4 linked regions of the Macaca mulatta genome follow. The protein of the gene in region 1 interacts with the protein of each later gene in a pairwise test. Links are inferred from orthologs where the notes say so. Each region holds a gene or a part of one and is shown in the gene's direction. Other genes may lie near its edges.

Region 1 (5,293 bases):
CCAGTTATTTTTAAAAACTGCATCTGTAATTTAAAATGAGAAGATTGGAGTAATTGGTGTCCTAGTGACAGTCTGTAACTAGAACTTTAACTTCAGGCTGGATGCGGTGGCTCATGCCTGTCATCCCAGTTTTTTGGGAGGCCAAGGCAGGAGGATTGCTTGAGCCCAGGAGTTTAAGACCAGCCTGGGCAACATAGGGAGACCTGGTCTCTACAAAAATGTTTTAAAAAATTAGCTGGGTTTGGGCTGGGCACGGTGGCTCACGCCTGTAATCTCAGCTCTTTGGGAGGCTGAGGCGGGTGGATCACGAGGCCAGGAGATTGAGACCATCCTGGCTTACTCGGTGAAACTCCGTATCTACTAAAAATACAAAAAACTAGTCGGGCGTGGTGGCGGGCGCCTGTAGTCCCAGCTACTCGGGTGGCTGAGGCAGGAGAATGGTGTGAACCCAGGAGGCGGAGCTTGCAGTGAGCCGAGATCGTGCCACTGCACTCCAGCCTGGGCCACAGAGCGAGACTCCGTCTCAAAAAAAAAAAAAAAAAGAAAGCTGGGTTTGGTGGTGGACATCTGTGATCCCAGCTACTCTGGGGGCTCAGGTGGGGGGATCTCTTGAGCCTGGGAGTTAGAGACTGCAGTGAGCTGTGGTCAGGCCACTGCATTCCAGCCTGGATGTCAGAGCAAGCCCTGTCTCCAAACACAAAACATAAAGTAACTTTGAAGTTTACAACTGTACCCATATGTATAGCTGGACACATTTATTCCTGTTTCAGGTTTCCTTAACCAAGAAAGAAAACTACCAGGCTAGCTTTATCAGTTGTGATACTTAACACTTGAAAGATGCAGATACCTCATATTTGTGTCCTGTCACTGCAGTTGAAAAGTTACAACTTCACAAGCACAACCTGATTTCATGATGAACACTTGACTTCTTTTTTCAAATGATGTATTTTCCCTGTTCTGAATGTCCCTGTTCTGAATGCAGCACCTCTTTTAAGTAGTGCTCCTTGGCCCTTTTCAGAAATTGCTCATCTATCAGGAATGACCAGGATAATTGAGAAATTTTAAAACTTGGTCATCTTGACATAAGGGAATTAATAGCTGCGAGTTTGGCATCATAAAACATTGATGATGGCAAGCTTGGAAAGGCCTGTGCTGGCTCATTTAATTGTAACAGGAAACCCAGGCACACTCACCATACACTGGAACCAGGTTAGCCACAGAGGCAGGTGTATGTATCCAGCTGTGAACTTGGAGACTAGAGAATGCACAGATAATCCAACAGCTCAGGTTTTTCTTGTTTTTTTAACCACTATCATTTCTTTTCAAAATTGCTAATAATTAGCAAAATGGACCAATGTAAGTTCCATTTCCATAAATAAAAGTATAATTCTTATTAAGGGCAGAAGAAAGGAGCTCCTGCTTGCCGTGTGTCACCCCCTACTAGGAGTTCCATATTCTTACCTTAGTTGGGTTTTCAGTGGCAGCACGCAGCGCCAGTAAGCAGATGATTTCGTAGACGAGACGAGTGGAGCTGGCACAGGCACACAACGTGCCCAGTTAGCGCCCAGACATTTTGAAGCTGGGATTGGGATCCTGGCCTGACTGCAGAGCAAAATACACCATTTGGTGCGTCCTGGCACCAGCCCAGTGCGTGGCTCTGCAGAGAGGCAGCGGGCTTTCCTCATGTCTGCCCCCGTCCGCCGCTTCTCATTCCACCCCCACACTCCCCGAAGAACAGGGCCCAGAGCAACCCTGCATGTGCTCGGGCTCCTGGAGTGGGGCTGAGCAGCTTTCTGTCCCGCTGAGGCTCCCTTTCCAGGTTGGGGCAGGCAAGTGGATTCGACAGGCTGCCGGAAGACTGCAAGGTCACTGGGAGTTTTAATCTGTGACTGTCATGAAGGACATTTGTACTCGAATTCATGGAGTGCCACTCCTGATGGGAGAGGAGGCCCATGCCAGTGACAGTCATGTTAGCGACCACGGACACCACGCCACGCTCCCTGTGCCAGCTGGCGCCTTCAGCGAGTCCTCGCACCAAGCCTGGAAGGTGCAGAAGAGAGGGCAGCGGGCGGCCCAGGAGCCCACCGTCCGTGTGGGCCGAGCTGCCCAGAAGCCTGTTGCCAGTCACTGCCGTTCCTAGTCACTGCCTGCCAGTGGCTGAGGAGGACGAGCTCTGGGTGTCTCGGCTCCACTGACTGCTTTTCTTTCTCCTTCAGATGCTGACCGAGTGGACAGCACCACATTATTGGGTAAAGCAGATCTTTCTTCTCGCCAGCCTGTTTTTTGCCTACACATTCCATTGTCTTCTGTCATTCACTGTAAAATCATAAACGTTTGTTTTTCACCTTAAATAATTAGCTTGTATTAAGACAGCCCCACTGAAGATGATAAATAGCCATGCATTAGCATGGTGCCTGCCACACCGAGACACTAAAAGCCATCCCTTTGACGAGGAAGCACAGCCGGATCACACGTGGGCCAGCTGGCACCTGAGAATAATTTCTTGCCCTAGAACCAAGAGTGACAGGGGACTTGGAACAGGTTCTATTTGTGGGATACCTTGTGGGGCAAGATGCAGTGCCTTAGAATGACCCAGCTCTTCCGCAGCGTTCATTGCACGGGTCTGAGCTTTCACACAGAAGCTTCTATTTAATCCTTGTTTGAAATGTGAACGCTCTTATTGCTGGGCTCAGTTCTGCCTGGTTATACATTTAACAAGACTTGGTGGCTACAAGCGTCCTCCTGTGTGTGAACTGGGCACCAGGTGCCTCCCCTTGCTGAGCCATTTGGGTAAAAGGGACTCTGGTGAGTGGCGCGGAGGCCTCTGTGCGCAGCCCCGTTTTCCCTGCCTGTTTGGCCCAGTGCGTTCACAGATGAGAAAACGCGCATCGATGTGGGAGCTGCTCGCATCACATCCATGTTAGTGGTGCGGGAAGTATAAAACCGCCGCAGTCAGCTTCCCATCCACCTATTCCCGTGCGAAAGGACGTCTTTATTACAGTCGCTTTCTTACTGAAATGCGACTCCCGGAAGCATGGCTTTCTTTGGAGAGAAGCCGTAGTGCGGTCAGTGTCATCTGCAGGGGATGGCAGGGTCTGTTTGGCCTATGCTTCAGTAAGGTCACATTTATAAACTGTGCCTCGGCGGGTGGATTCTAAATAAACAAGCTTAATACATTTTCCTCTTTCAGGTAATGCATGCCAGGACTGTGCAAAGAGGAAGTTAGAAGAGAATGGAATTGAAGTTTCAAAAAAACTCAGACAATCAGATACTGGTATTGTGTCCGTTCTTTTTGTGGGGAGCTGCCTCAGGTCTGTCTGGTTGGCAGGCATCTTCAGGGACCATGCCGCGCTTTAATGCTCCGGGCCCTGTGGTGGGAGGATGGTGCATACATTCTGTCAGGGCCAGAGAGCACAGGAGGCTTAGCAGAGACCCTGACCTCTCACCCCAACCCAATTCCAACTGCCCAGAGGTGCTGGTGCCTCTTTAGAAAACTGTTATGGAGAAAACATACACTAGGAAGGTGCAGCGGGCAGAAGGGTGCTGTCTACAAAAAGAAAAGTTAAAAACATGAATAAAAAGTGCACAAGTTATGTAAGGTCAGCTCAGTGCATTTTTGCAAAGTGCACGCTCCCATCTAATCACACCCAGTTGAGGTAGCAGCATTGCCAGGACCCCCCTTGTCACTCTCCAGCCTTCTCCAGCCCCTAAGGGTGACCACTAGCCTGATGCATGTCACCCGAGTCTCTGTAGAAAAGCACTTTAAATCATTTGAGCTGTGCTGCCTGTTACAGACTGAGATGTAAGTGACTGAACTATCTAAACAGTGTATTTGAATAGGCCTCTCTGTTGACACTACGAAGGGCGATCTCGCTCGTTCGTGCCGGTCCCTCCCTCTCCCCTTCTCCTCCTCCTCCCAGGTTTGCGTAGTGCTGTGTGTTATTTCTCATTCTTTAAATAACAGACTTAAGCCAGACTTCCCAACACGAAGCCTGGGCTGGATGGCCACCCGCTTGCGTATCCCACCCCCTGGCCCGCCGGCTTCCCCGTTTTGTTGCTCTCCGTGGTGACAGGACAGAAGGGAAATGAGACCCCCAGTCTGTCTGTAGGTTGACTATAAAAGTCGGCAAACAAAAGCATTTCCTTGATGAAAACAGCGTCAGTGTTCTTTCCTGCTTAGCCAGCTTGTGGCGGTGGCCGTGGGCCCAGTGCCACGGCACCTGTGCCAGCTGCAGATGTGTTCTCAATGTCAGGGTCAAATGTGGCTTGTTCTTACATTCCATTCTCCCATGTTTTATTGTTTAATATTGGGGCTTTGAGACATTTGTGTTACTTCTTATTTTTTGAGGAGTTTTTAGGTTCTTCTTTCCCCTTTGTTTTCCAAAAAATAACATTTCCCAATATTCTTAAATGTATGCATTCCCTCAGCTTTCAGAACTAAGAATTTTTTTTTAAAAAAAGTATGCATTCTCTTCATCCTGCCACCCCACGTCTCCCAGGACACCTTCTCCTGGTCAGCTCCGTGGGGGACTGCTGTGTGCCTGCCTCCCGAGCTTCCCTCCTCCTCTCTGAGATGGAGGCCCAGGTCTCCCTTGTTCTGGCCCCCCGTCCATCCTGCTAGTAGCTCCTGAGGCTGCTTCTGCAGAGCCCTGTGCGGGGTCGCCTCCCGAGGGCGATGTGTCTGCAGGTGTCTGTGCCATCCTCACGCTCGTTGGTAGTTTTGGCGTGGGATTCTTGGTTGTGATTCCCCCAGACTCCACTGTCTGAAGACCAGGTTTCCTATGAAGAGGGTCTGATGGGAACCTGTTCCCAGTGATTTGAAGGTACCCGTTGCTTTTTTTCCTGGGAGTTTTTAGGGTCCCCTTTTCCCTTGAGTAGAAATCCAATGAGGATGTATTTAGGTGGAAAACTTTTTTTACCTGCCTTATTCACGTGTTCTTTTTCTTCCTCCATTTCTCCAGTTCTGGAATAGTCTGTGATTCTCTTTATTTCTTCTTTCCATCTTCTCTGTTCTCCCTTTCTGGAAGTCATACTAGTTGGGATTGCTTGGATTGATTTCCACTGTCTTTTAAGTTTTCTCTGATGTCTTTTTTTTATTTTTTGAGACAGAGTCTTCTGTCGCCCAGGCTGGAGTGCAGTGGCGCAATCTCGGCTCACTGCAACCTCTGCCTCTGGGGTTCGAGCCATTCTCCTGCCTCAGCCTCCTGAGCAGCTGGGACTACAGGCGCCCACCACCATGCCCGACTAATTTTGTATTTTTAGTATAGATGGGGTTTCACTATGTTGGCCAGGC
Region 2 (6,057 bases), on another chromosome or scaffold:
CCATAGTTGGGCCAGGCGCAGTGGCTCATGCCTGTAATCTCAACACTTTGGGAGACGAGGCAGGCAGATCACCTGAGGTCAGGAGTTCGAGACCAGCCTGACTAACATGGAGAAACCCTGTTTCTACTAAAAATATAAAATTAGCTGGGCATGGTGGCACATGCCTGTAATTCCAGTTACGTGGGAGGCTGATGCAGGAGAATCGCTTGAACCCGGGAGGTGGAGGTTTTGGTGAGCGGAGATCATGCCATTGCACTCCAGCCTGGGCAACAAGAGCGAAACTCCATCTCAAAAAAAAAAAAAGTGATAGTTTTCATGAGCTTGTTGATCTGTATCTAGGACTACAAGGAAGATAGGCATGCTACAGACATTTGTATCTAGCAGTGGGTGCTACTGTAACATGTGGCATTAGCTTTGGACTAGATGCCTGGAAAAGCAGTGGGGAAATTGGTAGTGAACACTGGAACAATGGTGAGAAAAACTACTGGAGGTGGACAAATGGTGAACGACTCTGTGTCATGGTGAAGGATTTGTAAAATTGTTTCCCTTCAGTAAGATGGGCAGAGAAAAAGGCAACTACTGAATTCTGGGACTTGAAAAAAATCATCTCAGTATAATGTTGAGATTAACCTGTTTTTCTTTTGCTTGAATATGTTGAGACACTTATAGAAAAGAGTGTGGTTAAAAACAAACAAATTCGCTAGCAGAATTTAGAACATACATTGGGTTGGAGCTGGGGAAAGTATTATTAGACTCTATAGTTGGTAACAAGGTCTCAAAGTAAGTCATAACCTGGGCCAAAGATCAAATTCAGAGTGGTGCTAGTAAAATATGGCCTTAAGAATAATGCTGAAGTCAAGGTGATCTCAATGATTTAAATGTTAACTAGTATACCCTTTCAGCAATATACAAATATTTATTAAAAATCTTAGAGCGAGGCTTGTTTCAACAAGATTAGTGGTAGTGTTGGCCAGGCGTGGTGGCTCACACCTGTAATCCCAGCACTTTGGGAGGCCGAGGCAGGCGGATCACAAGGTCAAGAGACCCAGACCATCCTGGCTAACACCGTGAAACCCCGTCTCTACTAAAAAATACAAAAAGTTAGCCAGGAGTGGTGGCAGGTGCCTGTAGTCCCAACTACTAGGGAGGCTGAGGCAGGAGCATGGCATGAACCCGGGAGGCGGAGCTTGCAGTGAGCCGAGATCGCACCACTGCACTCCAGCCTGGGAGAGAAAGTGAGACTCTGTCTCAAAAAAAAAAAAAAAAAAAAAAAAAAGACTAGTGAGAGTGGCTTCTGGGGCATGGAGAGCACCTGAATCGGATGCTTGAGAAGCCCACAAAGTTTTTAAGGGACTTGTAGTGAACAAAGCACCACCAGCTGCAAAAATGTGGAGAGAACAGTTTAGAGTGAAAAAAGATCTGTGGGTCCACAATTTGCTAATGACAGGAAGTAGGTTGAGAAAGTGTCTCAAAAGCCTTTTTCTTCAAAATGGCCAAGAAGGTGCTGGAAAAGGAGGGACACCCAAGAGGGCAGAGGCAAGAGTTGTGCGGAGATACAGCCTGGGGAGGCACTCCCAGGAAGCAGAACTCGGGCCTGGTTAAGGAGAACTTCTTATTCTTGTAGGGCCTGAAAACAGCTTCCAATAGGATTTGAGAATTGCTCTGGCCCCGTGATTGCTCTGTCTCCTCCTCTTCTCATTTTCACATGCAAGTATTTATTGTGGTTATCTGGTCCTGGTTCACCATCATATGTTGGGTGCATGGGAGAGAAAATTCATCTTCTTAGTTTGTAAGTCTCTGAATCAAGAGAAGCTGCACTGGACAAGCCAATCTAAGACAGACCATGAGATCCTAGATTTTGTGCCTGATGCTGGGATTGTAAGAGGCTTTGGGGGATCTTGGGATGAACACTGGAAACTAACCATAGTTTGGGTTGGAAATATCACTCTAGTTTGGAGATTTTAAGGCATCTTTGGCTTTTCTAAGTGCAAAGATTAAGTAGGCTTACCTTTAGCGACCTCAGACTTAACGCCACCCGAGACACCCACACCCATGACCACATTTTGGACTTTCTTTTTTTTTGAGAGAGAGGGTCTCGCTCTGTCGCCCCGGCTGGAGTGCAGTGGGGCAATCTTGATTCACTGCAACCTCCACCTCCCGGGTTCAGGCAATTCTTCTGTCTCAGCCTCCCAAGTAGCTGGGGCTACAGTCGCACGCCACCACGCCCAGCAAATTTTTATATTTTTAGTAGAAACGGGGTTTCACCATATTGGTCAGGCTAGTTTCGAACTGCTGACTTCATGTGAGGCACGCATCAAGTAGCTATCAGGTCTCTCCAGTTACAGCGGAAAAAGATCCAGAACCAGCCCTACCCCGTCTAGAGGAAAGGACGAACATTAGGCAAGCACTTGGAATCGTGCGAAGTGCACGCCATCAGATCACCTTGGTGAGTGAACCGCCAAGCCCGAAACACCGAAGGCCACGAATCCCAACCGGGAGGACGGTCACAGCGCCTGCCGCGCATGCTCAAGGCAGGCTCGCCTGGAGCATGCGCAGTAGGTGAGGGCTACGTCATCTGTCGGCGTCCGCGCCTGGCGTCAGCGACCGGTGCAGACAGGAAGAGGCTCTAGGCGGGCACATGTGTATGGCGGCGAGGCGGGCGGGTACATGGCGGGCTCTGTGGGACTGGCGTTGTGCGGGCAGACGCTGGTGGTGCGGGGCGGCAGCCGATTCCTGGCCACCTCCACAGCAAGCAGGTGAGGGGGCCTTGGTCTTGGAACAGGGTGCCCAGGCTGCGGGCGCGCGTCGGGTCCTGGCGGCCCCGCTTCTCCGGCACCGCTTGGTCGCACCTGCTCTGGAGTGACCTCGGGGAACCCCGCTCCATCCTGCGAGCCCTCCGCCGCAGTCTCCGCCTGGCCGCGTGTCTGCGCCTGGAGGGTGCGTTTTCGGCGCTCCCTCCCCGGCCGCTGGCGCGCTCCTTGCCGTAGATGGCTGGTCTGCGGTGTTCTTGCCCGGTTAGCGCTGGGTCACTTCCGGTCTCCGCGGCGCCGGCGGGGACCGGGTGGGCAGAGCACGTGGGACGTTGCTGACCAGTCAGCAAGGCCCGGCCGAACACGCTCTGGAGAACTGGGAAGAAGTGGGTCTCGGGTCTCCCTGGTGAGAAGGGAGGGGCTAATGGCGAGCTCACTGACCTCCGAGCGCGCTCCCTCTCCTTGCAGGGGTTGCCCGTTCCCTCTTCCCGGTCTGCATCCACTCACCCGGCCTTAATTGCTCCTTAACGCTCCAGGTCATCTCCGACACTTACTTACTCGACCCAAGGGTGCACGCAGAGCTCGCAGCGCGCACCTCCTAGTGGCCCTTCACACGGCTCGGGTTTTGCTTTCCGTAATTTTATTCTCCTTCGTTAGTGTATCGCCAGTGCTAGGACGACGCCGGGGATTTTTAAATTAGTTAATGTTTGTTGATGGAATAGTCTTAACTCAGGACTCTGGGAGCAATTAGTAGTGCTGTCAGTTTCAGCCCCTCGTTTTCTTTCCCAGGTTATTTGTGATTTCATACTTGAAACGGACGACGCGTCTGTCACATGCACTGTATATTCTTCGTTTGGTTTCAGAAAGCCAATTCGATGTTAAATTAGGTCTCACAAAAATTGTACTCGGAAACTTGTCACGTATCCCAGATGATTTTGTTTTATACTCCCGGTCTAATACCTGCCAGAGTGAGCTGTGGATGTATTAGACATGATCTGCTTACCTTCAGTCTATGCATTTTGAGGAAATTCTAGTGGTTGGTGGAGTTTCTGACTTGGAAGACAAGTCTACGGTTCCATATGGAAAGTTTTTTGGTGCACTCACTTTAAAGGCTATAAATATGTACAGGATACGTGCTGAGGGATGGGATGGGATAAACTGAAGAGAGTTTAGCGTTTAGGTTCGGTGTGGAAGATGGGTAATTCTTACGTTGGTACGTGCTTGGGGTCATGGGAACATTTTCAGGTAGGTGAGATATGTTTCTAAATAGGTAATGGCTCTTTGAAATTTGTATACAGAATCCCACTGAAAACTCAACAGTATCAGAACATGATTTCTGTTTTTTTTTTTTTTTTTGAAACGGAGTCTCACTCTGTAGCCCAGGCTGGAGTGCAGTGGCCAGATCTCAGCTCACTGCAAGCTCCGCCTCCCGGGTTCACGCCATTCTCCTGTCTCAGCCTCCCGAGTAGCTGGGACTACAAGCGCCCGCCACCTCGCCCGGCTAGTTTTTTGTATTTTTTAGTAGAGACGGGGTTTCACCATGTTAGCCAGGATGGTCTCGATCTCCTGACCTCGTGATCCGCCCGTCTCGGCCTCCCAAAGTGCTAGGATTACAGGCTTGAGCCACCACGCCCGGCCAGAACATGATTTCTTATAACCATGCCGCATAGATTTTCTGGTGCCTGAGAGAATAGCATAGTAATTCCTGTTGAGTATTTATCCCTCATTTGTTTTACTGAACTTTTTTTTTTCCCACAGAACTGTGCAGGTAGTGTATGACATATTCCAATAAGAGATTAAGCAAATAAAGTTTGTTAACTGTTCTCTGAAATATTGTATCTAGACAGTTTTCTTGTCAAGGAAAGACTTTTAATGAGTATGCAAATATTTTTTGTTCCACAGAGAAAAAAAAATCAACATTTTTTTGTTTTGTTTTATTTTAATAAAGTGCTCCTTTACAAATCATTGTTAGGCAGGCGGAGCATGGTGGCTCACGCCTGTAATCCCAGCACTTTCGGAGGCCGAGGCAGGCGGATCACCTGAGGTCAGGAGTTCGAGACCAGCCTGACCAACATGGAGAAACCCATCTCTACTAAAAATACAAAATTAGCCGGGTGTGGTGGTGCATGCCTGTAATCCCAGCTACTTGGTAGGCTGAGACAGGAGGATGGCTTGAACCTGGGAGGCCAAGGTTGCAGTGAGCCAGGATTGCACCATTGCACTCTAGCCTGGACAAGAGTGAAACTCCGTCTCAAAAAATAAAAATAAAAATCATTGTTAGGCTGGGTGCAGTGGTTCTACCTATAATCCCAGCACTTTGGGAGGCTGAGGTGGGCGGATCACCTGAGGTCAGGAGTTTGAGACCAGCCTGGCTAACATGGCGAAACCCCGTCTCTACTAAAAATGCGAAATTAGCCGGGCATGGTGGCATATGCCTGTAATCCCAGCTACTCGGGAAGCTGAGACAGGAGAATCACTTGAACCCAGGAGGCAGAAGTTGTGGTGAGCCGAGATCGTGCCATTGCACGCCAGCCTAGGCAATGGGAGTGAAACTCCGTCTCAAAAAAAAAAAAAAGAAAAAAAATATTTAAAAAGTTGCTATTTCTGTCTAATGGTAACTCCTTTTAAAATCATTCTGTTATTTCTCTTTAGTGACGATGACAGCCTCTTCATCTATGACTGCAGTGCTGCGGAAAAGAAGTCACAAGAAAATAAAGGGTGAGATGTGGGGAAGCTTTTCAGGGCCTGATTTAATGTTCGATAATGGGACCAGAGGGTCTAAGAAGCGATTATTGTCTTGCTGAATTCTTAGCTTCTGTCCCACAGTGGTGCGGGTAAGTACCACCTCAGCAGAGACATGTAAAAGTAACTTTCAAGTTAGGCATTAAGAGTACATTGTTGGCCAGGCGTGGTGGTTTATGCCTGTAATCCCAGCACTTTGGGAGGCCAAGGAGGATGAATCACCTGAGGTCAGAAGTTCCAGACCATCCTGGCCAACATGGCGAAACCCTGTCTCTACTAAAAATAAGTTAGCTGGACGTGGTGGCAGGCACCTGTAATCCCATCTACTTGGGAGGCTGAGGCACGAGAATCTCTTGAACCTGGAAGGTGGAGGTTGCAGTGAGCCAAGATTGCGCCATTGCATTCCAGCTTGGGGAATAGAGCAAGACTCCGTCTCCAACAACAACAACAACAACAAAAAAGAGTACAGTGTTAGTGCCAGGTGCGGTGACTCATGCCTATAACCTCAGCACTGTGGGAGGCCAAGGTGGGAGGATCACTGAGTTCAGAAGTTCGAAGCCAGCCT
Region 3 (5,838 bases), on another chromosome or scaffold:
CAGCACTTTGGGAGGCCAAGGTGGGCGGATCACAAGGTCTGGCCAACAAGGTCAGGCTGGTTCGAGACCAGCCTGGCCAACATGGTGAAACCTTGTCTCTACTAAAAATACAAAAATTAGCCGGGCAGGGTGGTGCACGCCTATCATCCCAGCTACTTGGGAGGCTGAAGCAGGAGAATTGCTTGAACCCAGGAGGCAGACGTTTCAGTGAGCAAAGATTGCGTCACTGCACTCCAGCCTGGGCGACAGAGCAAGACTCCATCTCGAAGAGGAAAAAAAAAAAAAAAGGCAAGAAAGAAAAGGATTGATATGTACTGTTAAGGAATAATCTTTTTTTTCTTTTTCTTTTCTTTTCTTTTTTTAAAATACAGGGTCACATTCTGTCACCCAGGCTGGAGTGCAGTGGTGTAATTATAGCTCAGTGCAGCCTTGACCTCCTAAGCTCAAGTGATGCTCCCACCTCAGTCTCCTGAGTAGCTGGGACCACAGGCATATGCCACCACACCTGGCTAATTTTTGTGTTTTTTGTAGAGCTGGGGTTTCACCATGTTGCTAGTCTGGTCTTAAACTCCTGGGGTTAAGTGATCCTCCCACCTGGGCCTCTTAAAGCAATGGGATTAGAAGTATGAGCCACTGCACCTGGCCCAGGAATAACCTCTAAGATATTTTATAAAGTGAGAAAAGCAGGGTGCAAAACTGCATATAGTATGCCTTTTGTTTAAGAAGGAGAGGTCAGGGTAGGAGGGAGACCTACTTTTCACTGTATGCTACTTTGTGTTATTTGAAAATTAAACAGTAGGCACATTGGGATTCCACCTGCAAATCCTACACTTATCCAAGGTAACTTCTAGTAACATTGGCTGTAGTTGATTTCAGGCTTATTTTTATGTAAATACACGGAATGTATGTATATCTTTATGCAGGAACTACAGTCTGGCATATTTTCTTCTCTTTAATAGGCCTTTATTTGCGATCTTTAACAGATCTTCATAAAGCTGTCTTCTCTTTAAATTGCTGTCTCTAGGCTTAGCCATACCCCCAACTCCTACCCCTAATTCTCTAAAACATGCCGTGGGTGGCTCGCCCTGTGCACTGTTGCCTTTGGGAAGGATTTCGTTCCCTCATGGCCACCCTCCACCTTCCCTCATGGCAATCTGGCTATCCCTAGCCCCAGTGTAAAGTTGCACCCAGGACTACCAAGATGCTAAGCCTTGCCTCTACAGGACCTAATGTGCCAGCACCCTCCTTCCCTCTCCTCCTCGCCCCCATCCCTTCCATCTTTAGGGAATTCCTGGCAGGTTGGGTAGGGGATGAATGGTTAAGGGGTATTTTGTGAGCAGGGGAAAACCCAGTGCCAGGGAGGCCAACCGAGGGCCTAGCAATTAGAGAATACTTATATATTTTGGTGCCTACCATGTGCCAAGCAATGTGCTTAGAAGTCTGCATACATTACACGTATTCCAACAATACCACAAAGTAGGTTTCCTGGAGGGAACCATGTGTCCTTGTTTGCCTGAAACAGTCATGGTGTTTGCCTGTTGTCCTGGCAAAATTATTAATAGCATCTCCTTTCTCTAGCAAAAGGTTTAGATAAAAAAAATTGTATAGTCACCTTAACTGTCCCCATCTTATACGTGAGGATATTGAGGCTTAGAGAGGTAAGTTCATCTGCCCAGGGTCACACGGCTGGTAAATGATAGAGCTGAGATTAAAACTCTAGTCAGTATGGCTCTGTTAGGGACTGAACTCTGACATGGACATGAATGGTGTTCCCCAAAATTCCTATGTTGATACCCTAACCCCCAATGCGACTGCATTTAGAGACAGAGCCTGTAATAGGGCGATAAAGGCTAACTGAGGTCCAGATTATTGCCTCCTCCCCAGGCCGCCTCTCTTCCACAACCACCCCCACCCCACTGCAGTCAGGGCCCTTCCTCCTCTGCCACGACAGCTCTGCTAACCCGGCACTATCACTGCTTGCGTCCTTCGCAGCCTCCTGCTACATCTTTTACACCGCTGCGTCCTCGTTGGCTGGCGCTCAATAGACATTGACTCGGTGAATAAATGAGTGAAACTGTCCTTTTAGGGATGGATGAATCTGTCCTATTCAAGGCGGTGCCCTTTTCTGGTATTCCCTAACACAAGCTTGACCCGAAGTAGGCGTTCTGAAAAAGGCCGACAGTCGATGGAGGCCAACGCAGCGCTCCTCTCACCTCCTCTCTCCGTCCAGGCCGGGTGACCATAAGCGCGGCCAGCGGAAAGGAGGCGGTGCGGCCGGCAGGGTTGAGGCCCGGAGGGGGCGGGGCCTCCCTCGCGACCTGGCCCGGAGAGGGTGGGGCTTCCGGGAAGGTGCCTCTAGCACGCACTCTCGGAAGCGCAGCCGAACCCGCCCTCCGAGCCCAGAGGCGCTGCTGCCACCGCCGCCCCGCTGCCGCTGCCTTAGTTATGCCGGTGAGTGGTTGCGCCGTGCCCGCCACGCACACTTGCAGTCCCCGGGTTCCTCCTTGGCTGCACAACAGCTTGACCGGATGCTTCTCTTGAAGGGCTCAGCTTACCCCACCCAGCCCCCAGCTTTTGCGACCCTTCAGAAAATGGGATCCGAAGGGAGTTTAATCTAGGAGCCAGGCTTCAAAACGTCGGAGCTGGAAGGCCTCCAGGGGCGACAAGCCCACACCTTTCCTGCGTACACGGAGAAACAGACCCAGAGAGGGGGCAGGGGGTCGCTCAGCAGGACGCGGGGAGTTGGTGGCCAGCGGGAACTGAGACGCCTACTCCCTGAGCCTTCCTCTTGGCTGCCCCGCCCGCTTAGCTGGCCTGAAGGAGGGCGGGAGGCTCTGGGCATGGGGATGGACCCGGTTATTCCCTCACGGACCGGGCAGGTTTTCAGAGGTTCATGATTTTTTCTAAATTTTCCTGCCACTATGGCTTACTTTTCAAATCAGCTCTGGGCGACTCTGAATGGAGACACTTTGTCAGCCTGAACCCATAAGCCCCAGAGAGGTTCAGGAACCCCCCTCAAAGTCACCAGTTGCTCAGTGGCAAGAGTCTGGGAAGTCAGTCTGAGCCTGCCTTTGCAGATCACTCAGTATATTGTTGCTCGTGGTCTCGTTTTTTATATAAAAAAGAATTGAGGGCTTTGACAGATAAAAATATAAAAAACCCAGTAACTTATTCCAGGTCGTGTTGAAGTTGGCAGAGCCAGGATTCAGCTCCTTATCCTTAGGCTCCCCATCTCTCCAGGCCTGACCACATCGGAGGTGCCTGGCAAAAGCAGTCATACCGGCTTGGGAAGATGCTCTGATCTCAGTTGCATCTTGGTTAGGGTCATGTGGTGTTTAGCATTTTCTTCGAGGTGCGTAATTCATGGCTCTGGGCCAGGTGGATATCAAGAGGTATCCCACAGATGCCATGTGTCTTAGCAGCCTGTCCTTTGGGAGCTGACAGGTGAGCCTGACGCCCCCTGGGCAGAGCCACTAACATCTCAGGTGTCATTTCCCTTGGACCTTGCCAGGTGCCTTGAGACAAATCCTCCAACAACAAAGTATGGATAAGGAATCTGACAGAATCAGCCCTACCAGTTGAGCAAGTCAGCCTGTGGCAATGGTAGAAGACAGTATTAATCTCCCTGGGACTTAGAGAGTGAAGGTCACCAGGATTTTTTGTGGGGGGTGGCAGTGAGGAAAAGTCCAGCTTGATCATCAGTGTATTCTGTATCTTCTGGGGATTTTGACAAAAGACCCTCTGGAGCAAATGATGGGAATGAGGAGGGCGCTTGGCACCATGTACCACAAGATGAGCAGCTGAAGGAAGGAGGGTGTTAGTCAAGGGACTGCCTTAAAACTGGAAAGGGAAGAAAAAAACATATATATATGTTAATATGTATATATACTGGGAGACAATGCGAGACTCCGTCTCAAAAAAAGAAAAAAAAATCGTCCCACTTACTTCGCCCAGGCTGATCTTGGCTCACTGCAAGCTCCGCCTCCCGGGTTCACGTCATGCTGCCTCAGCCTCCTGAGTAGCTGGGACTACAGGCACCAGCCACCACGCCCAGCTAATTTTTTTTTGTATTTTTGGTACTGACGGGTTTCACCATGTTAGCCAGGATGGTCTTGATCTCCTGACCTTGTGATCTGCCTGCCTCGGCCTCCCAAGGTGCTGGGATTACAGGCATGAGCCACTGTGCCCGGCCCCCACTTACTGACTTTTAAAACCTACTTTAAAATCTACCCATTTTATAAGTCTTTATGAAAGACCCCAGAGGCCTTGAGGAACCAGAACTACCCAGTTATGCATCCGGTGGTAGAGCCAATCTTGAGCTTCTCCTATAAAGAAGTGATTACTCTGTCCATGAAATAGTTTTTCCATCACCCTCAAATTTATTTTTGCCCCTCAGAGGTGGAGGAGGAGAGCACTGAACTGTAATGTTTATACCCAGCAGCTGATTTCTGACTTCTGACCTTTATACTGTAGGGGATGGGACCTACTCCCTATAATCAGCAACTGAAAGTTTCAGGTATTTGTTGACTTCAGGTCCTTGGGCAGCAAAAAACTGTGCTCCCTAAAAATGTATTTCTAGTTTCGGAGCTTCTGCTGAGAGTCACGGTTATGAGAGCTGGTGGTGTACTTTGCTATTCCAGAACGAGCAGGATTTCCCTGGAGCGAAGAAAGCCTAGGTTCATATTCCATACTCAGTAGGTATTTGCCACATGACTGCAGGCCACTTAGTGAACTCTTGGGAACTTCACTTTCCTCCTGAGTGAAATAAGATAAATAGCTTTCTTTCCAGGCTCAGTGAGGACTAGCTTAGATACTGTATAAAGACAATTTGACATATAATAGACAATCAGTAGATTTAGCTCTTAGGTTGATCTTGCAAACCCTTCCAAACTTTGGCTCAGTATATAAGTGCAAACCATTGATTAATCAATTTTCTGCTGGTTATCCTAGAGCAAGACTCAGCAAATTTTTTTTTACAAGGCCCAGATAGTAAACATTTTAGTCTTCACAAACCACAGGATCTCTGGTACAACTACTCAACCCTGCCATTCTAGTGCAAAAGTAAACAAGTGAGTTTGGCTATGGTTTTTTGTTTTTGATTCTTTTTTTTTTTTTTTTTTTGAGACAGAGTGTTGCTCTCTCGCCAGGCTGGAGTGCAGTGGCATGATCTCGGCTCACTGTAACCTCCGCCTCCCAGGTCAAGTGATTCTCCTGCCTCAGCCTCCTGAGTAGCTGAGATTACAGGCGCACGCCACCGCTACCAGCTAATTTTTGTATTTTTAGTAGAGACGGGGTTTCACCATGTTGGCCAGAATGGTCTCGATCTCTTGACCTCATGATCCTCCTGCCTCTGCCTCCCAAAGTGCTGGGATTACAGGCATGAGCCACCACACCTGGCCTCAGTTTGGCTATGTTTTAACAAAACCTTTTACCTTGTAAAACAGGTAGCTTGTATTGTGCCAATCCATGTTCTAGAGCATCATCATTTTTTTTTTTTTTTTGCAAAACATTTTTTTTTTGTTTTAAATTAAATGGAGCCATGATCTCACTGTATTGCCCAGGCTAGTCTCAAAATCCTGGGTTCAAGTGATCCTCCCATTTCAGCCTCCCAAAGTGTTGGGATTACAGGTGTAAGCCACTGCACCCAGCCTTTAGATTTTTATTTATTTATTTATTTTGAGACAGAGTCCTGCTCTGTTGCCCAGGCTGGAGTGCAGTGGCATGATCTTGGCTCACTGCAGCCTCCGCCTTCTGGGTTCCAGCTATTCTCCTGCCTCAGCCTCCCAAGTAGCTGGGATTACAGGCACCTGCCATTATGCCTGGCTAATTTTTTTCTAT
Region 4 (5,929 bases), on another chromosome or scaffold:
AATTACATTGAAATTTATGAACTATTTAGAACTGAATGATAAGGAAAACACAAGCAGTTTCCAAATCATTTCCCCTGTGAAGTCGGCCCTGACCCCACATGGTTCCTCAGATGGCTCTCCACCCTCCACCCATTTCTACACCCTAGGAGGCTGACATCTACAGGCTGCAGCGACAGGTTCCCTTGTTCTTAGCTTCTGGGAGGATTCAGCTAGTGGGGGAAACCTGGCCAGAGATCAGAGGGAGGGAGAGAGGGAGGAGAGTGAGGTCTCTTACTTGCCCCCCGTCCTTCCCTATATGATTGCTGTGGGCTGGGTATACCCCTCCACCTTAGGCCACAGCTGCCCCCTCCTCAGAGCTCCCACTTTCACCACTCCTTTCCTACACTCCTGCAGCCTAGGGTTGACAGCCTCTGCTCTTGTGAGTCCTTTGGTGATACACTGTCTGTGTGGTTTCCCTACACCTTGACCCTACCTGTAAATAATGTCTTTGTTAAACATACCCGTTCTGGGTGTTCTATGTACTTCCTGCAAATACCCCTACTCTTACAAAGTCCATTAGTCCACAACCACATTCTCACCTCTGGGTGACTGAGCTCTGACCTTGTGTATCTCTCTGTGTTGTTCCCTCTACTGACCTGTCAGCACCTGAGGTCAGCAACCAGGTCAGCTTCATCACCCAATCCCCTGATCTGATATGAGTGGAGAGTTATACTTAATAAAAGATATTGATTAGGATATCAAATAAAGAAGCATATTTTAATTTGCTCCATAAGCAAGTGTTTGTTTATAGGGGATTCAGGGCAGAGAGTTAAGAGTCAGACATAAAAATACAGAGAACTTTAGACTGGGGCAAAAATTGGTGCTCAACAAAAGAACATATCCACAGTTCTATGAGCTGGGATTCATTTTTTATTTTTATTTTAGGTTCAAGGGTACATGTGTAGGTTTGTTATATAAGTAAACTCTGTGTCATGGGGATTTGGTGTACAGATAATTTCATCACCCAGGTAAGCAGCATAGTACCTGATGGGTATTTTTGTCTCATCCTCCCTCCTCCCGCCCTCCCCCCAAGCAGGCCCCAGTGTCTGCGGTTCCCCTCCTAGTATCCACGTAGTCTCATTGTTTAGCTCCTACTTATAAGTGAGAATATGCAGTATTTGGTTTTCTATTCCTGTGTTAGTCTGCTTAGGATAATGGCCTCCAGCTCCAGCCCATGTTGCTGCAAAGGATATGATCTGGGTTAAGGATCTAGCGTGTTCTCATGTCATCCAGCAAACAGAAGGTCCAGACACAAGGAGTGTCCAGTGTGCCATAGTAAATGCCCACCTCTGGCCTCTAGCTCTCCCCTACCCCTCCAGAGTGGCTTTTACAGCTAAGCTCTCTGCTTTGGTCTTCCTACCTAGAAGGCCTCCAATCTTCCCTCCCATCCCAGACAGAGCAGCCAACTGGTCCCTGGGCCTGGGGGCCACAGTGTGCACTGAATGCTGGTGAGATATCTCTCTGTCTTCGAAGGAACCCAGGTGATAGGGAGAGCAGATCGGATCTTGAGTGGTTTGGATTTGGTCGGAAGGAAGGAGGGAGAGAAGGTATTCTAAAATGGAACAGCTGGGATACAGGTCTGGAGGTAAGAAATGGGGTGACTCTGGGTGAGGAGCAAGGAGAATCAGCCCAGCCTGAGCCAGGCCCCCTCCCTGGTGAGGAGATGAAGTTTGTGATTTGAGGCTCTTCTGGGCCTGTCCCTCAGGGGTGAAGGACTCAGCTCATGATTCCCAAGGCGTTCATTCATTCCTTCACTCAATCATTCATTCATTCATCCATCAAGTGGGTTTTGAGTTCCTGCTATGTGCCAGGAGCTGAGGATATGGGAGTGGATAGGCCAGTCCTGATCCCTTATCGGGTCCCGGGACAAGTGTGACGCAGACGATTCTAGGAGGGCAAAGAAACCACCCTTATCTAGCAGCTCTTGTTTCTGCTCCAGAAGAAGCCGAGTTTTTCCCCATTTTACCGTCTGGGAACCTGAGGCTGCCTCCTTGGTGGAGGTCCAAGGAAGCACTGAGGGGGCGGGCAGCTCAGTCCTTTGTCCAGGGGGAAGCTGGGAGCCCGATATGGACTTTCCGGGAGGGTGGGGGCGAGTGCGTCTGTGTACTGGGGTGGAGGGGAGTCCCCTTTCTCCGCCCCTCCCCGCCCCGTGGCCGCGGCGTGGCGGGCCCGGGGCGGAGCTGGCGTCACCCGGGCAGGAGGGCGGCCGCAGCCGGCAGGACAGGCAGACGGACAGGCTGACAGGCGAGAGAACAGGCACTGCGGGACCGGCAAGGGAAGGGCGACCCTGTGGCTGGGAATGTGACCCCGCGGCCAGAGGAGGACCCGTGAGTGTGCGCCGTGCCCCTGCGGCCTCGCCGCGCACCCCGCCCGCCTGGCTTCCACTTTCATTTCTTCGGCTGTCTCGGCGTGGCACGGTCTGGAGGAGAGTCCCGCCCGAAGGCAGACTGGCCGCTGTCTTGGGGCTGGGGTCCAAGGCTCAGAGCTTCGAAAGTTGGGGTGGGGTTGGAGGGGGCGGTACGGGGCAGAGGGGAGGGGTTGGGGGGCGTGTTTTCGGGGAGCGGAAATGTCAGGCGGGCTCCTCTGGGTCCTACGACCTGCCTGGCCCTGGGAGCTGGTTGGGGGGGCAGGGAAGCCGGGGGTGGGCGTGGGTGGCTGCGCGCCTCAAGGAGAGCGTGGAGTCTTCGCCTCTACTTTTTCTCTTCGACTTCTGTCCTGAAGAGCGTCCCAGGCTGGATTCTGGGTTCAAACTGGGGCCATCCTCTGGCCCAGGCCCAAGGAGTGGTAGATGTAGCCTAGCAGGGAGCTAAATATCAGAAACAGGGAGGGTCACCCTGCTGTCTTCATCTGAGAAGCCCACATCCCCACCCAGGGAATGAGCAAGCCACTGCCACTCCAGGAGTGAAAGGATAGCCAGCACTGGGAAATGGGGGCTAGGAGGGGGAACAGCAATGGTTCAGGGAGGGACAGAGGTTTTGTGACAGAAACTCAGTGAGGGCATGGGGGTGGAGAGTGAAGGGAGTTAACCCTGTGGCTAGAAGAGTACCTGCCTTGCACCCACCCCCTGAGCTTACGTTTTCCTGGAAAGAGACCCAGGCCTTGAAGTTCCACAGGAGTAAGGTGGAACTCTAGCTCACTGGTCAGGACATCCCAGTTGCTGTGCGGAGTCAGTGTGTTGGGGACAGGAAGCAGGTTGGGCTGTTTGGTGGAGAAGATGCTTCCACTGTCCCTCCACTCCCCTCCTCTTCTCTGTCTGCACCAGACCATTGATAAGCCAGTGTAGGAAAATGGTGTTTTACCCTTGGTCATGAGCTGAGCCCCACCTCCTCTCAGTTCCCAATTCTGCTTGTAACTTGCTGTGTGAACACAGGCTCCTCAAGTCCTATTTTTAGGCCTCAGTTTCCTCATCTTGGCCTCAGTTTTCCCATGTGTACAAGTGAGCTGGGCCAGTTGATCTATCAGGGCTATTTTAACTCTAAGATTCTAGTCTAAGCTTTCCTTCAAGTCTGAACACTGACTTTGTGCCAGGCCTTTTCCTAAGCTGGGGCTGGGTTGGGGATGGAATGGAGACTGCGATGACCAAAAGCAGCCTCTACCCAAGGAGAAGGAGATCTGAGTTCAGGAGAGGAGGCTGTGGGAGGAGGTAGCAGCCAATCTGAGGATGTATGGTCAGGCAGGTGGAGGTATAAGAAAACATGCAGAGGCAAGAGAGTGGGGGCGTGTTCAGGAATCAGGAAGAAGCCCAGGGTGGTTGGTGTGGGGAGGTGGGAAGTGGGGCAGGAAAGGTAGGACAAGGTGCTGAATGCCAAGGTGGGGGCCTATTTCTAACTGTCATAAAGGGGGTCATGCAATGTGGGGAGCCCAGGAGCCCCGCCTAATTGCAGTGTGAGGGATTTGGGAAGCACTTGCCCCAAGCAGAGTTTAAAATGGAGATGGCAAGTGAAGCGCAGAAATCTCCTCTTTGCTCAGGAAACTGGGGTCCCACCCTGGGGACTTCTTTGGGTGAGAAGTTGAAGAGTCAGGATGGATGAGATGACCTTTCACATCTGTGAGTTTTTTTCAAGAGAACAAGTTCCTGCTGAATGGCCTGTTTCTACCCTCCAAGCTGCTCTCATTTTACCAGACTGCCCCCATCCTGGCCTGCCTTTGTGGGTTCAAGGAAGGACCTTTGTCTCAAACATCTCCCCTGCTAGTTTGACTTCTTGCCAGAATACCCCTCCCGCAATATGTGCCTTCCCTTTGCTTTTACCCAATTGTCACCTGGTTCCCACCCTCCCTTCCCCAATCCTGTCCCAGGGTTACCAGAGATGTGAGAAAGGACAGTGCTCTAGCATCAGTCAGAGGTCAAGCCCAGGCTTTGGCCATAAGCAAGCCTCAGAGTAGGGCTAAAGGCTAGAGTCAGGGCTCACACTTGCCAGAGCCTAGGTCAGAGGTCAGCCTGGAAAAAGAAGGCAATTCTTAGCTTATACTCAGCCTTAGTGCTCAGTCTAGGGGCAGGGTCAGTGCTTAGTTTGTGGCTAAATTCTAGTTTTGGTAGGTACATGGGTCTGCATTTCCCAGTAGCTCACACACTCACAGGTGAGATGAGATGACTCAGGTCTTAGAAACCTAGCTATAGCAGAGTGACCCAGGACCTGGATGGGCCAAATCCATGGTGATACAGGGGTCACCCAGTAAGCCAATGGTAGAGCTGCGACTAGAACCCAGGAATCCTGCCTCTGAGCCTAGGGCCCTGATCACTGTCTCCCGAAGTCTGCTCTGAATCTGGGATCCTTAAATTCTAGGAGGCAAAGCAAATTTGCCTGAGGTCTACATGGGCCCTCCTGGATAAATCTGATTATACTCTTCTACCTCCCAGTGCCAGGCACATAGTAGTTGCTCTAGGAATGTCTACTGAGTGTCAGGTGCAAGGGGAGGGGCCAGTGGCTTGTTCAGAATTGGGGCCGGAGGAGGCTGGCTTCGGGGGAAGGATCTCCAGCTGTTGTCAGAGGAAGCGATGCCCTCATTGATCTGCCGCCCTCCCCCTCCTCCAGTGCTTGCAGCCACACTCAGAAGCCGCCCCGCTGGCAGCCGGAGGGCCCTTTCCTCTTTCAGGGTGAAAAAAAAGGAAAGGACATTTTTGGTAGAAAAGTTCCCTGCTGCTCCCTGGGAATCCCCGGTGGCCGGATAGACTACGGGATATCCCAGAGGAAGCCGAAAGCCATCCCCCACCCCCTCCACCCTGCCCCCAGCACAATGCTGTGAGGCTTTCCCACGCTGCACCAGCTGGCCAAGGGGGCTCCTAGAGGTCATCTCGTCCAAGCCCCTGTCTGCTGGTGGGCCTGCAGGGAGCCTCTGCTACCTCTGTCATGACTAACAGCAAGTCCGAGGGGCACCTGTTTAGAGCCCAGGCCCAGCTCTGCAATGAAAGCAGAAAAGAGACAAACAAGATGTGGGGCTTAGCAAGGGGGACTAATGTAGCCTGGAAAGAGGGTGGGGCACTGGACCTAGGGGTTGAGGATTTAGATTCCCAGGCAGGGGATGCAGAGGTTGAGCAAAGTCTGAGAGGTGACAGGGAAATGATGAATTGGGAAGTCAGACTCCAGATGATAAGGCCCTGACCGCCAGCTCCCCCATGTCCTTGTCCCTGGCAGGGTATCCTCAGGTCTGAGCCCCTGGACAGCAGCCCCAGGCCCAGCTGGCCATGGCCCTGTGCCTGAAGCAGGTGTTCGCCAAGGACAAGACGTTCCGGCCGCGGAAGCGCTTTGAGCCGGGCACACAGCGCTTTGAGCTGTACAAGAAGGCACAGGCCTCTCTCAAGTCGGGCCTGGACCTGCGCAGTGTGGTGAGGCTGCCACCCGGGGAGAACATCGACGACTGGATCGCTGTGCATGTGGTGGACTTCTTCAAC

Evidence for each region.
Region 2: the proteins of FAM118A (region 1) and WDR4 interact in binary tests that used the Homo sapiens proteins (3 or more experiments, as listed by UniProt). The two-hybrid records come from large-scale screens. The link is inferred for Macaca mulatta from reciprocal best matches to the Homo sapiens genes FAM118A and WDR4.
Region 3: the proteins of FAM118A (region 1) and ATOX1 interact in binary tests that used the Homo sapiens proteins (3 or more experiments, as listed by UniProt). The two-hybrid records come from large-scale screens. The link is inferred for Macaca mulatta from reciprocal best matches to the Homo sapiens genes FAM118A and ATOX1.
Region 4: the proteins of FAM118A (region 1) and MOB3C interact in binary tests that used the Homo sapiens proteins (3 or more experiments, as listed by UniProt). The link is inferred for Macaca mulatta from reciprocal best matches to the Homo sapiens genes FAM118A and MOB3C.

The regions. Positions count from the first base shown.
Region 1 is NC_133415.1:6,138,418-6,143,710, reverse strand, and holds part of FAM118A (protein FAM118A), read left to right. Parts: intron 1-2,216; coding exon 2,217-2,249; intron 2,250-3,190; coding exon 3,191-3,274; intron 3,275-5,293.
Region 2 is NC_133408.1:4,614,430-4,620,486, forward strand, and holds the start of WDR4 (tRNA (guanine-N(7)-)-methyltransferase non-catalytic subunit WDR4), read left to right. Parts: upstream 1-2,609; 5' UTR 2,610-2,667; coding exon 2,668-2,756; exon of another isoform or gene 2,757-3,156; intron 3,157-5,402; coding exon 5,403-5,468; exon of another isoform or gene 5,469-5,475; intron 5,476-6,057. UniProt on the Homo sapiens protein: Non-catalytic component of the METTL1-WDR4 methyltransferase complex required for the formation of N(7)-methylguanine in a subset of RNA species, such as tRNAs, mRNAs and microRNAs (miRNAs).
Region 3 is NC_133411.1:160,688,615-160,694,452, reverse strand, and holds the start of ATOX1 (copper transport protein ATOX1), read left to right. Parts: upstream 1-2,364; 5' UTR 2,365-2,445; coding exon 2,446-2,451; intron 2,452-5,838. UniProt on the Homo sapiens protein: Binds and deliver cytosolic copper to the copper ATPase proteins. May be important in cellular antioxidant defense.
Region 4 is NC_133406.1:193,972,203-193,978,131, forward strand, and holds the start of MOB3C (MOB kinase activator 3C), read left to right. Parts: upstream 1-2,212; 5' UTR 2,213-2,366; intron 2,367-3,921; exon of another isoform or gene 3,922-4,087; intron 4,088-5,672; 5' UTR 5,673-5,722; coding exon 5,723-5,929. UniProt on the Homo sapiens protein: May regulate the activity of kinases.